Linked DNA regions of Rhinolophus ferrumequinum. The protein of the gene in region 3 interacts with the protein of the main gene of each other region in a pairwise test. Links are inferred from orthologs where the notes say so. Each region holds a gene or a part of one and is shown on either strand. Other genes may lie near its edges. The genes, in order: KHDRBS3, FBXO7 and PSMF1.

What was found.
Region 1: the proteins of PSMF1 (region 3) and KHDRBS3 interact in a two-hybrid assay, tested with the Homo sapiens proteins (2 studies listed by BioGRID and IntAct). The link is inferred for Rhinolophus ferrumequinum from reciprocal best matches to the Homo sapiens genes PSMF1 and KHDRBS3.
Region 2: the proteins of PSMF1 (region 3) and FBXO7 interact in binary tests that used the Homo sapiens proteins (3 or more experiments, as listed by UniProt). The link is inferred for Rhinolophus ferrumequinum from reciprocal best matches to the Homo sapiens genes PSMF1 and FBXO7.

What each region holds. Positions count from the first base shown.
Region 1 is NC_046297.1:68,449,091-68,452,836, reverse strand, and holds the start of KHDRBS3 (KH domain-containing, RNA-binding, signal transduction-associated protein 3), read right to left. Parts: upstream 3,039-3,746; 5' UTR 2,971-3,038; coding exon 2,883-2,970; intron 1-2,882. UniProt on the Homo sapiens protein: RNA-binding protein that plays a role in the regulation of alternative splicing and influences mRNA splice site selection and exon inclusion. Binds preferentially to the 5'-[AU]UAAA-3' motif in vitro.
Region 2 is NC_046293.1:13,035,487-13,039,232, forward strand, and holds the start of FBXO7 (F-box only protein 7), read right to left. Parts: upstream 2,310-3,746; 5' UTR 1,389-2,309; coding exon 1,267-1,388; intron 1,163-1,266; exon of another isoform or gene 1,074-1,162; coding exon of another isoform or gene 1,037-1,073; intron 1-1,036. UniProt on the Homo sapiens protein: Substrate recognition component of a SCF (SKP1-CUL1-F-box protein) E3 ubiquitin-protein ligase complex which mediates the ubiquitination and subsequent proteasomal degradation of target proteins and plays a role in several biological processes such as cell cycle, cell proliferation, or maintenance of chromosome stability.
Region 3 is NC_046306.1:23,868,426-23,872,171, reverse strand, and holds the start of PSMF1 (proteasome inhibitor PI31 subunit), read right to left. Parts: upstream 2,244-3,746; 5' UTR 2,073-2,243; coding exon 1,944-2,072; intron 1-1,943. UniProt on the Homo sapiens protein: Plays an important role in control of proteasome function. Inhibits the hydrolysis of protein and peptide substrates by the 20S proteasome. Also inhibits the activation of the proteasome by the proteasome regulatory proteins PA700 and PA28.

The DNA.
Region 1 (3,746 bases), on a different chromosome or scaffold from region 3:
TTAATTCAAAAGTGCCTTGTTGGCCTGAGCATTAAAATCCTGTAGGCTACATCTACCAGGAATGGTTACTTCAGCAAGGAAGACGTCTGGAGAAACACACGAAGAAACTTATTTAGAAAATCAAGTCACCCAGAAGCAAGCATATTAATTACCTGGTTTCTGCACGGTTTTAATTGGCACGTGCAAAGTGTTTTGTTCCACCTTTTGGGGGAGTCACAGGTAGCGATAACAGACCTGAGTCCAAAGGCAATCCATGTCAGTTGCCCCCAGCTTGCATAGCTGAGTCCAAGCTCTCTCCCCTGAGAAATGGAGACATCCATGTGAGCCTCCCAAAGATACAAGCATGAGAACAGAACAGGATAGCAGGCGCCTTAAGGAGCCTTGGAAACTTTAAAATACTATGCAGACATAAGGTAGTGTTAGCATTTGGACCTGCCACCCATTCCACAATACAATGAAGATTCACATTGCAGAACCATCATCTCTGTACAAGTTAGCGCAGGAATATCAACTCTAGTATCGAGATTCAGAGTAACCTCTAAAATAAAACCAGTTTCCTTTAGAGGCAAAGAGTCAAAAATATAGCTAAGAATAAAAACGCTTTCCTCAAGTCAATAATATAAGATGGTTACCAGATTTAAAATCAAAGCTTCCTAATAACCATCCAAATTCAGATTTAAGACACTTTTAGAAATGCACTTGTAATTTTCGAGTTATATAACAGCGTCATTAATATTTTAAACGATAGGACTTTGCATCCTAGATATCAGCCTCTGACTTAAGGGAAAAACGTTTCAGTCTGAAATAATCTAAATTGACATTAATAAGAGCACATGAGTAGCACTTTTATTCCTTCACATAAGGAAGGAGTGAGAAATGTACTTCTTACAAAAATTACATTTTTGATGGAAAAGTAAGGTAATCAGGTTTAACATCTAAAAAAACATTAAATAGCAATACTGTCCAATATCTATTTCAAATAACCAGAGGCCATTAACACTAGTAAAAACACAGAAACCAAAAGAACTTTAAATGTATTAGCAACACAATACTATGGCACACACAAAAAATCTGACTTTTGAAATAACTCATTAAACTTTTAGTTAAACTGTTTCCTTAACTGAGTACAACGTAAGTTTGATTCAGCTTCTCTATGAAGAAAAATTCACTCGATTCTACAGTCCAGAATACTTCTAATGCCACTCATCTCACACAATGTACAAAGAAATTTCTTTCACAGAGATGACAGCCCAGCAGGCAACAAAAGATCTATGTAAATCATAAAGAGCAAGAAGTACAAACCTAACTGTAGGACTGTTCAGAAGGGCATGGGAATAAAATTTAAGAATACATATCCATTACCTTTCCACAAGCCCGTTTTAGTAAAGCAAGCAAGATGAGCCTAAAATTAAAACAAAATGGGAAAGCGCTCTATACTGATGCCTGCTGAACAATTCAAATATCATGCTTCAATTCTTGGAGACAGTGAGTCTCTCCACCACCATCAGTCTGAGGAACTGGTTGTAATCGGCAAACGTCGGAGATTGCTGTTTTAAAATATAGATATCTATGTACAAATAGAATATGTCTGCCTCATTGTTCACTTTCGACAGTGAAAGAGCCAGGGTCAGCGTTAAGACCAGCAGACCCGATTCATCTCGGGGACGACAAACTGTCACTGCACAGAGTGAGCCATGCAAAAGGTAACACGTCTGACCGGATAATGTTTCTGCCATAACCCAGAAGAAAAGCAGACAAGTGGGCCCAAACCCATCGTTATCTGCAACGTGAATTCCAGACACAGGAGGAGAAGAGGTCTGCTCCCGGGAAAGAAGACTTCATTTACCTTCCATCCCAGAAGATTATTCAGGAAGCTGGAGGATGAACAAGCCAGTGGACGCTGTCCCAGGCAGGCACGCCTCCATTCAGCCCTGTGTGCCCCTGTCCTGTAATTCCCAGGACTGTTCAAACCCTGAGCTGGCTGGACTAGTGCTAAAATGGTATGGGCAGCAGACTCCTTGGCCAGTGTTCTGAACCCTGAGCCAGCCACCAATGAGGGTCGCCCACTCAGCTCTTCCCAAAATGAGGACAGGCAAGCCAAAAAGGGGCACTTGTGTCACCTCTTCTCCCCTATGGATCCCTGCAACAGCCAGCCTGCGAGGCTTGGCATGACTTGTGCACCCCCCAGGGAGGGCAGACCGCCCCACCAGGGCTGCTAGAGCCTGGGCATGGAAGAAATACAGACATGAGAGCGGGAACTGGGCTCAGCCACTAGGGCAGCTGGGTCCTGCCCTCCCGGGCTTGGGGTCTGCCCGCAAACCTCCTCCAGGGTCCTCAAACTCTCACTAACAACCCAGCACCTGTTCCCTTTGCATCTTCTGCATTTGGTCTCCTCAAATCCTTCCATTTTCATCCAGCTCTTTCTCCAGTTCTTTAGACTAACCACACTAGTTTCCAGAGCTACCTCCCGATCTTCCCCTCCGATGAGATAATACAACCCCCGCCCCACAAAGTCCCCAGATGTTCGCTGTCCCCCACCCAGAAGTTTCCCTTGGGTGTCCTCCAGTCCCCAAGGATTGCCTTCAAGTGTCATCCCAATGCCCCAGGCTTCTCCTTCCCAAGTCTCCCAAATTCACATCTCTGGCTTTCCCCAGGTGTCCCATATCTCCCAGGTCCCCACCCAAATGCCCCCCCCCCCGATTGCTACCTGGGGCCCTCCTCTCCTCCCCGAGGTCTATTTCCAGCCATCCTCATAGTTCTGCCTCCCAAGCCCGCCGCATCCTACCCGGTGCCGACCCTCCCGTCTCCGAGCCCCCTGGCCGCCACTTCCCGGCCCCCATGGCCTCGGGCGTCAGTTAACGACCGGCGGCGCACACCCTCACCTTGGTTCACCAGCCGCAGAGCGTGTGTGAAGGAGGGGTCCAGGGAGTCCTTCTCCGCCATCAGCTCCGGCAGGTACTTCTCCTCCATGCTCGCGGGCCGCCCGGGCCCCGGACGCGGACTCGACGCGGGCGGGCAGCGGCGGCCCCGCAACTCGCGACCGCGCCCGCGCCCCAGCGGCGCGGAACCCGGGCTGGTCGCCGCGGCCGCGCCAAGCCCGGCGGTCGGCCTGGCGGAGGCGGCACGGGGTGGGAACCGACCGCGCCGCCCGGGTCCCCGGGAGGGGGGGCCGCCCGCTGAGTGCCCCGCGCTGGCGGCCGCGCCTCCCGGATGCGGCCCCCCGCTCCCCAGCAGAGGGCAGCGGGCGCGGGCGGGCTCCAAGCGGGCCCGCGGGCGGACCGGCGGCGCGCTCAGCTAGCCTCCCGCAGTCCCGGGCGAGCCCCGCCAGCCGCCGCCGGCGCCCCGCTCCGCCGCGACCCGCACTCCGCTCTCCCTCCCCGCGCTCTTAGCCGCCGCGCCGGGCCGTGCCCCTCCCATCCCACCCGTCCCCCCCCGCCCTCCTTCGCCGCCTCCCTCCTCTCCTTCTCTTTATCCCCCCCCCTTCTCCCCCTTTTCTCCTCCTCCTCCTTACCTGCCTCTCCTACTTCGCTCTTTCCGCTTTATTTTCTTCCTTTCTTCCTCCCCCCTTTCCGCGCTCTCCTCCAGCCCTGGGGACGTTGGGAGAGCCCCGCGATGCTGTTACAGCATTGCCAGGGGCAGAGACCGACAAACTGAGGCCCAGAGAGGTCAAGCGGCCGGTCCAAGGTCACCCAGCGAGCAACCCCGGTGGGAGAGCTGTGCAGTGGTACCCGCGGGTCAGGGGTCAG
Region 2 (3,746 bases), on a different chromosome or scaffold from region 3:
AATATATACACATGTAGATTAAAATACCTTAAAAAGAGAAGTTAATTCTGAAAAATTGTGGAAGGGTAGTGATGCCAGCATGCAAAACAACTTAGGTTTAACACCAAGGAATAACAATAGGTATGTCACTTAATATAATGTTTAAAGGGGTTATGTCAATACCGCATTTTGTTTTTATTTCTCGTAATTTGGAAAAAAAAATGAGGCTTATTTTTAATGTAATAATGCCTTAATCTGAAAAATGAATGGGTGAGAAGTTCATAATATGGCTCATTTTATTGAATTTCCTAAAAATAAAATTTTAGTTTGTAAAAGTCTTATAAAAAGAGCCACTTAAATAACAAAGGTTTTCTTGTGAAGAATTCACCTAAAAAACCCCAGCGAACATCTTTTTTATTCTTTCCTTAGTACAAAATTCCAAATTTCTAGCTCCGTATTTGAAGAGGGCCACCGTTACTTTTGCCCCTCTATTCCCAGAATATTGTCCCCAGAAAATACCCTGTGGAAACAAAGCAGCCTCATCTGCAGCCCCATAAATGAATAACAGAATTTGATCCTTTACTTCTTAATGTCACTGCTCCCAAACTGCAAACTCTCCAGAGTCATCATAAGGCCTGCGTTTGCCTTAGTTTTAGCTAAAAGCAGCATCTCGCCCAGGATAATCATATGATTTGAGACACGCCGACGCGCCGCACTTTGTAAAACTTTGCGGCGGGTAAGTCAAAGTGGGCACCGCGGCGCCTGGCACGTAAACGTTCAATGGAGTCTTAAGATTACTGCAGCCTCACAGCGGCGGCACAAGTTTCAGATGGCCTCGGAGGGAGGGCCGATTGCGAACTCCTCCTAATACTTCCCAAACTTTTCAACTAACTACCCCATCAGCTGGAGTTGGTGAATTTAAACCCCTGAGAGCCTGGAAAGGTTTAACCCAAACCAAATCCATAATTTCCAACTTTACATTGGAAAGGGCGGAACGGTGTCGCGTGCTAGCCTACTCCTGGGTTCTGTTACTGCCAGAACGGAAGCGACGGCTCACCCTGGAGGGGCACGGAGCCCCCGCGACGCTGGGCCATGTTCTCCGCGAGCCGGGACCCCAGCGCCGCTCTCCGCCCGGTCTGTGTGCGTCACAGTCCCGGGGCGTCAGACCCGCGACGCGGCGGCCACTGCCCGCCGCACGTGACGGCCAGGCCCGCGCCCGCCGGCACGCCTCCCGCAGCCCGAGGCGCGCCAGCGCCTCTCCGCCGTGCGCCCGCCGCAGCCGCTTACCTGTACCCCCAGGTGGGCAGCAGGGCCTCGCTCAAGTGCTCACGCAGCTGCCCCAGCGTGGGCTCCGTTTCGGGCATCTCCAGCGGCCAGGTCTGCTTCTGAAGCCGCACCCGCAGCTTCATGGCGGCGGCGGCGGCGGGGCCCAAGGGCCTGGACCCGGAGGTGGCGACGGTGACGGCGGCGCGGCCGGACAGCTCCCGTCTCAAGCGGCGGCGGCGCCGAAACGGCGACTACCGGTGCTGGAGGGGTGCTGAGGGGTAACGGGGAGAAGGCCCCGCCGCGGCGGCCGCGCTGCGGGCGGGTCTCTTGAAGCGGAGCACTCGGCCCCTCTCCTGAGGGCGCCCTCTGGAGCTCACCCCGCGAGCGGGCGGCTGGCGTCCTGCCCGGAGCCAGGGTGCTCGGGAACTTGACGATCGATGACTCGGCGCTCAACGGCGCCACCTGGGAGCTCGAGGAGCGCGCTGCGCAGGCGCCGAGCCTGCCGCGGGCTGCGGGTGTCACGCGAGGTTCTTGCACGCCTTGGCTGTGCCCATGCCTTCCAGGTGTACCTGGAGAATGGTAGCGCTGAGAGGGATGCTGCAGACGACACACCTCGCCTCTCCGCCAGGTTAAGGTGTGCCTGGTTCTTAGCCCAGTTCTGCCGCGGCGCTCAGTTCCTGCGGCATCTGCTCTGAGAAGCCTAAGGTTGAGTTCAGGCTCTGGTCATTTGCTCCTGTTACAGCAAAATGTGAACCAGCTTGTGATCAGTGATCTACGTGTGTCGGAGAGTGTGTTAGTATCCTGTTGCCGCATAGCAATCGCCCCAAAGCTTAACAGCTGAAAACCACATGTGTTTACTGCCCCATAGTTTTTACAGGTGAGGAATTTGGGCCTGGCTTAGCAGGGTGGTTCTGACTTGGCCTCATGAGATTACAGTCAAGATGTAGGCCAAGTTTGCAGTCATCTGAAGTGTTGAGTGGGACTGGAGCATCTACTCCCAAGATGGCTCACTCACGACTGTTGGCAGGAGAGGTTAGTTATTCACCGCATGGACCTCCGTGTAAGGCCACTTGAGTGTCCCCATGACATAGCATCTGGCTTCCCTCAGAGCAAGTGACCCCAGAGAGACTACGGCAGAAGCCACAACGTCTTTTATGATCTAGCCTCAGAGGTCACATACCATCATTTCTGTCATATTCTACTGATCACAAACCAAGCCTTCAGTGTGGGAGGATCAACCCTAAGGCATGAATCCCAGTCAATAGTCAGGGATCACAGGGTGCCATCTGGGAGGCTGGCTACCATATAGGACCTGACAATAATGACGACGATGATAGCTTAGGTGAGGGGAAAAGTATCCAAAATTTATCCCTGTATTGTCCAAATCTTAAGAGTTGAATAAAGTTTCTCCCAATAGGTGGCGGTACTTGCCCACATCCTGATTCATTAAAGAAATGTATTGATCACCTTTGTGCCAGATATTATCCCAGGTGCTGGGGACTCAAAGATTGAAAAGACATGTTCCTACTGGTACAGTTTACAATTGAGTGAATCAACTCTTGCAGTAGAGTGTAATAAGTGTCTTTGTTTATGAAAGAGAGAAGAGAAAGTCCTAGGGATTAAAAGATATTGAGGAGCTTTGCTGTGCCAGTAGGGTTCTTTAGTGGCAAACAATATGGGATTGAGGAAAGGGGGCAGGATCAGGGTGTCTCGGTGTGGCCAGGGTAAAGGACAGAGTGAGTACATCCCCAGATACAAAATAGCCTTGGACTAAGCGAAGGATTTGGGACACATTCTAGAATGTATGGGAAGCTATTGGAGAGTTTTAAGTAGGGGCGTCTTTATCTAGCAGGGGTCTTAGTTCTAAGCAATAGAAGTTAAACCGGTCACTAAGCCAGAAAAGAGCATGTTAAAATGATACCAGATAGCTCAGGAAATTCCGGGGAGGACTGGAGAAGTGGCTCCAGGCTAAGCTTCCAGGAATGAAGCTCAGAACCATGCTGAAGAACTGGCCTGATGAGGAAATTACCATGACTGGGATCGCTGCTGCCACCCCACCCCACCCCGCACTGGAGGAAACTGCTGCCATTGCTATCACCCCTGGGGAATGGCTGCCACCTTCAAATGCCACACACTTTTGCAGCCTCCTGCACCAACAAAATGCCAAGTTTCCAAAAGAGCCTTTTTCCTCAGCTTACTCACTTCTAAATCAAAGGTTCATAGGGCTACATCTGATTGAGAAAGACCAAGTCCCATGCCTGAGTCCTGGCTGCAAAGGAGACTGGAAATTGAGGCCCAAACTACTTTCCTGGGGAAGTGGAACGTAAAATATTGGAATTTCCCAAAATATAAGAAGGCTGTTCAAAAGATGGTAGGAAGCCATGCGTCTGACAGGTGTACACTACAAGGAGCATGGGTCAGATCTGAAACGTGAACCTATCACGGATAGAGTGTGGAGGACATATTAGATCAAGATTTCTCAGTACTACTGGCATTTGAGG
Region 3 (3,746 bases):
CCAGGAGAAGAGGTTCTGACGGTGTGGCAGCTCGTAGCAGCTAGCTGGGAATACACACGGCAAGTGAGATGTGTGCGGACGGGCAGAGAACAGGGTCGACCTGTAGGACCTGAAGGAGAGGGCAAGGGGCAGGGTGGGGGGTAGCTGAGGGCCCATGGGGGAGCTCCAAGGTCAGGACCAAATCTTACTCCGCTTTCTCATCCCACTGCCCCTTGCACATCCTACAAATTCTTGGGAGAACTTCCCAGGAAAAGCTGAAATGAAATGACTGGGGCAAGTGAAAGAACTGTCAAATACCGGAAAGCTAGAGTGGGGCAAATGAGGAGATATAGGTTTCTGTTGGGGAGACTATCCACTGAAAGGGCAGGCCTGACACTTCTGAGTGGGAGCTGTCTCTATTTGGTGAAAGGGTCTAAAATGATGAAAGACAAGGTAAGTGGATGGAGCGCAGGGTGAACAGAAAAGCCAGGAACAGAGACATTTGGGGGCAAGAAATGGTTCCTGTTTCCAGGTGTGTGTATGTGAAAGGCCAGTCCTTCCTTTCCAGCCTTATCTCCAGTCCTATAGTCCACACGAGGGAAGAAGTATATGTGAGCTTGGACGTGCGGAAAAGGGATGCTAAGTGTCTATGTGGGGTCCCAGTGAGAAACTAGAAGTTTGGGGGGGAGGGAGAAAAAAAAGAGAAAGTGAGAGAGAGAAAAATCCATGACAGTTCTTGGGCTTCTGATTCCTGTTGGTGCGGGCACAGAGACAGGGGTGTGGGCGTGGTGGTCACTAGTTCAAAGAGACAGCGGAATGGGGCAGTGAGAGCTCCGGGGAGTAGCTGGTTCTAAGTACTCAGGCCGTGTAAACCGTGTTTGAGGAGGGATCCCTAAAGCTCTCGGTCAGGAGAGGAAACATTAAGACTCTGGATGTATATCTGGGGAACTAAAAAAGGATTAGGGAGTTTGAGAGCTGAAGCAGTTAGAAATGAGAGTCAAGTTAAAAATCTCACTGTAAGATGCAAGGGGTGAGGTGCCCTGCTCCCCAGAACTGGTCTAGGTTCTGAGAGAGAGAAGAGAGAGGCAGTGAGGGGCAGGCTTGGAGTCCTGAGTGTGCGAGCAGTGACTATGGCTGGGAGGGTATTTCCTGAGGGAGGAGAAGGGAAATGAAGGGGGAGTAAGGAGGCTAGGCGCGGTTCTCACAGGAAGCCGCCGTGTAGTACGGGAGTCACAGGGACGAGGGGAGAATGGTACAGCAAAGAAGTAGTGAGGTAGGCTGTGCCCAGCAGTCCCAGGGCTCCCTGGGGGCTGACAAGGCCCCCAGCTGTGAGAGGCAGAGCCTGACATGGGAGGGCAGGACGGAGGGACAGCGGTGGGGAGGAAACCTTACAGCCAGGCTGTCTGTGTGTGGCAGGTACCTGTCTCCCCCAGCCCAGAGTTGGGAATGAGGGTGGCGAGCGGGATGCACTGGGCCGTTGATTGGGGCTGAGTAGGTCAAAGCTCACCCCTCTCCCTGGGCTTGGATCCAGTTATCTGATGGAGGCTAGAGTACAGTATGGCGGCAGGACTGAGTCCAGCTCCTCGTCCCCCACTGTGTGGGAAGGAGCTGAGTGGACGTCAGGCAGGTGAGGAGTGCGCATGGGAGGACAGCCGTCGAGGTGCCAGGTCCACATAAGCCTGGCCTGGGAGGCTGCTAGGCTGTGCAGAAGCGAGTTTCTGTCCTTGGGTTTTCAATCCCGTGCCAGCTGTGTCGGAGGGGCTTTGGGCTGAGCAGGGACAATACAGCACGTCGCCCACCCGCAGCCCACTTAGGCACTACACCCATAGGGTCGTGCACCCCAGGTTCCGAACTTGGGAGGGAAGAAGGGACAGGCGCTTTGGACCAGGCCTTCGGTCCTATGGGTTTGGGCAGAAGACACCTGAGCCCCTCCACCCTGATCCTGAACCGGCTCCGCGGCGTACCTGGTCGCCGGTGCCCAGGGCGTAGTAGCCGTGCGTCACCACCTCCCAGTGAAGGAAGCAGACGAGCGCGTCCTGCGCGCAGGTGATTGCCGGCGCCGCCGATGCGAACAGCACCTCCAGGCCCGCCATGCGCGTCCCGGGCTTCTGCGGGCAGAGGAAGTAAGGAAATGCGGTGAGCCTTCTCGGCCCTCCGAGGCCTGATAACTCCGCTCTGCTACTCCGCTAGTCCCGCCTGCGACTCCACCACCGGCCAAAATGGAGACTCCCCGGGGTGGGGGCAGGGCCGCCGGAAGTAGCTCTACAGGCTGGCGCAGCGGCGGCAACGCTCCGGGGCGGGACACTGGAGCGCGACACTTAAAGGTTCCGCCAGGTAGCGCGCGGGTGGGGCCCCTGGGGGAGCGGCCCTTCAAAGCTGGAATCCTTATCTTCCCCGGTTTCTGGCCGGACCTCTGCAGACAGGGTGTTTTGAGGAGAGGCCACTTCGTTCTGAGCCACAGACTTCCCACCCACAAAACGGGATGGGCGTATGCTAGTGGCGGGAGAGGTTAAGAAATATGGCTAAAATATGTTCATCATAATAGTTGGATCTTATGTAGTGCTTGCTATATGGCTAAAATATATTCATAATAATAGTCGGCTCTTATATTAGGGTTAGGGTTAGTGCTAATGTGCTATGTGCCACATTATTTGAAATGCTTTACTTCTTGTATTCATTTATGTAATCCTCACGACTTAACCTTATAAGGTTGGTATTAATGATAGCCCCATTTTACAGTTGGGTAAATAGAAGCACAGAGGGTAAATTTGACCAAGATGACTGTCACGGAGGGTCCTCTCCATACTGGCTGGAGAGCCATCCATGTCCTCCCACCCCTCCTCAGGGGTCCAACTTCTGAGAACAGTGGCTACTGGGTACCACACACTGTGTGGGGGCCACATGTCCTCCTGCAGAGTCAGACACCATTTCTACCTGGCCAGAATCCTGCTTGCGGTGCCAGGTGCCTGATTGGGTGGAGGCTACGGTTTAAGATGTCTGCAACCCTCGGAGCCTACGGCAGCTGCAGGCTACCAAAAAGCAGGTGATGCCTGCTATGGCTAACAGGGTGGCGTGCAATCTGGCAGCTTGAGAGACCCACCAATTCACTGAGGGGTAACATTTCTCCCAAACAGATCGCACCTCCTGTTCCCAGTGCTACTTCTCACGGGTCTCCCAAAACAGAGTTTATATGTATTAACAGCTCCATTACCTTTCGGATTGTTTTGGCCAACACCATACCCTAGTCGCTGCACAATTTGTCATTCAGGGTCTCTCGTCCCGCTCCCCACATAAGAACACAGGACATGGTGAGGCCAAAAAGGAACACCCATGGAGCCACAGATAGGGGAGTCATACCACTATATTCTCCCTGGTGGCTGGGTTGGAGACACAGGAAGCAGGAGCCACATGATCCGCAACCCGCCACCCGCTTCTCTGCCAACCAACCTCACTTGCTAACTACAATCAGTCTCCCTGCAATCCGCAATCCACACTCGGCCCCCTGCTAGTGTAGCCACGGCAGTTATATCAGTGGCTAATGGCTAACAGCTAACAGCTGACGGCCAACTAGTCACAGCTGATGGCCATCTACTACCCAAGCCAGCACCTTTCCATGTGAGGCCGAGAGCCTGGAAGCCCAAGCCAAAAGTAAGGGGGTGAGGTCGCGGGCCTCAGAGAGTAACACGCATGCAGATGTGGTGTGATCTCATGGCAGCAGGGGTGGCTCGGGAAAAAATAGACCAACAGCCCAATGCGTTCTTGTTGCA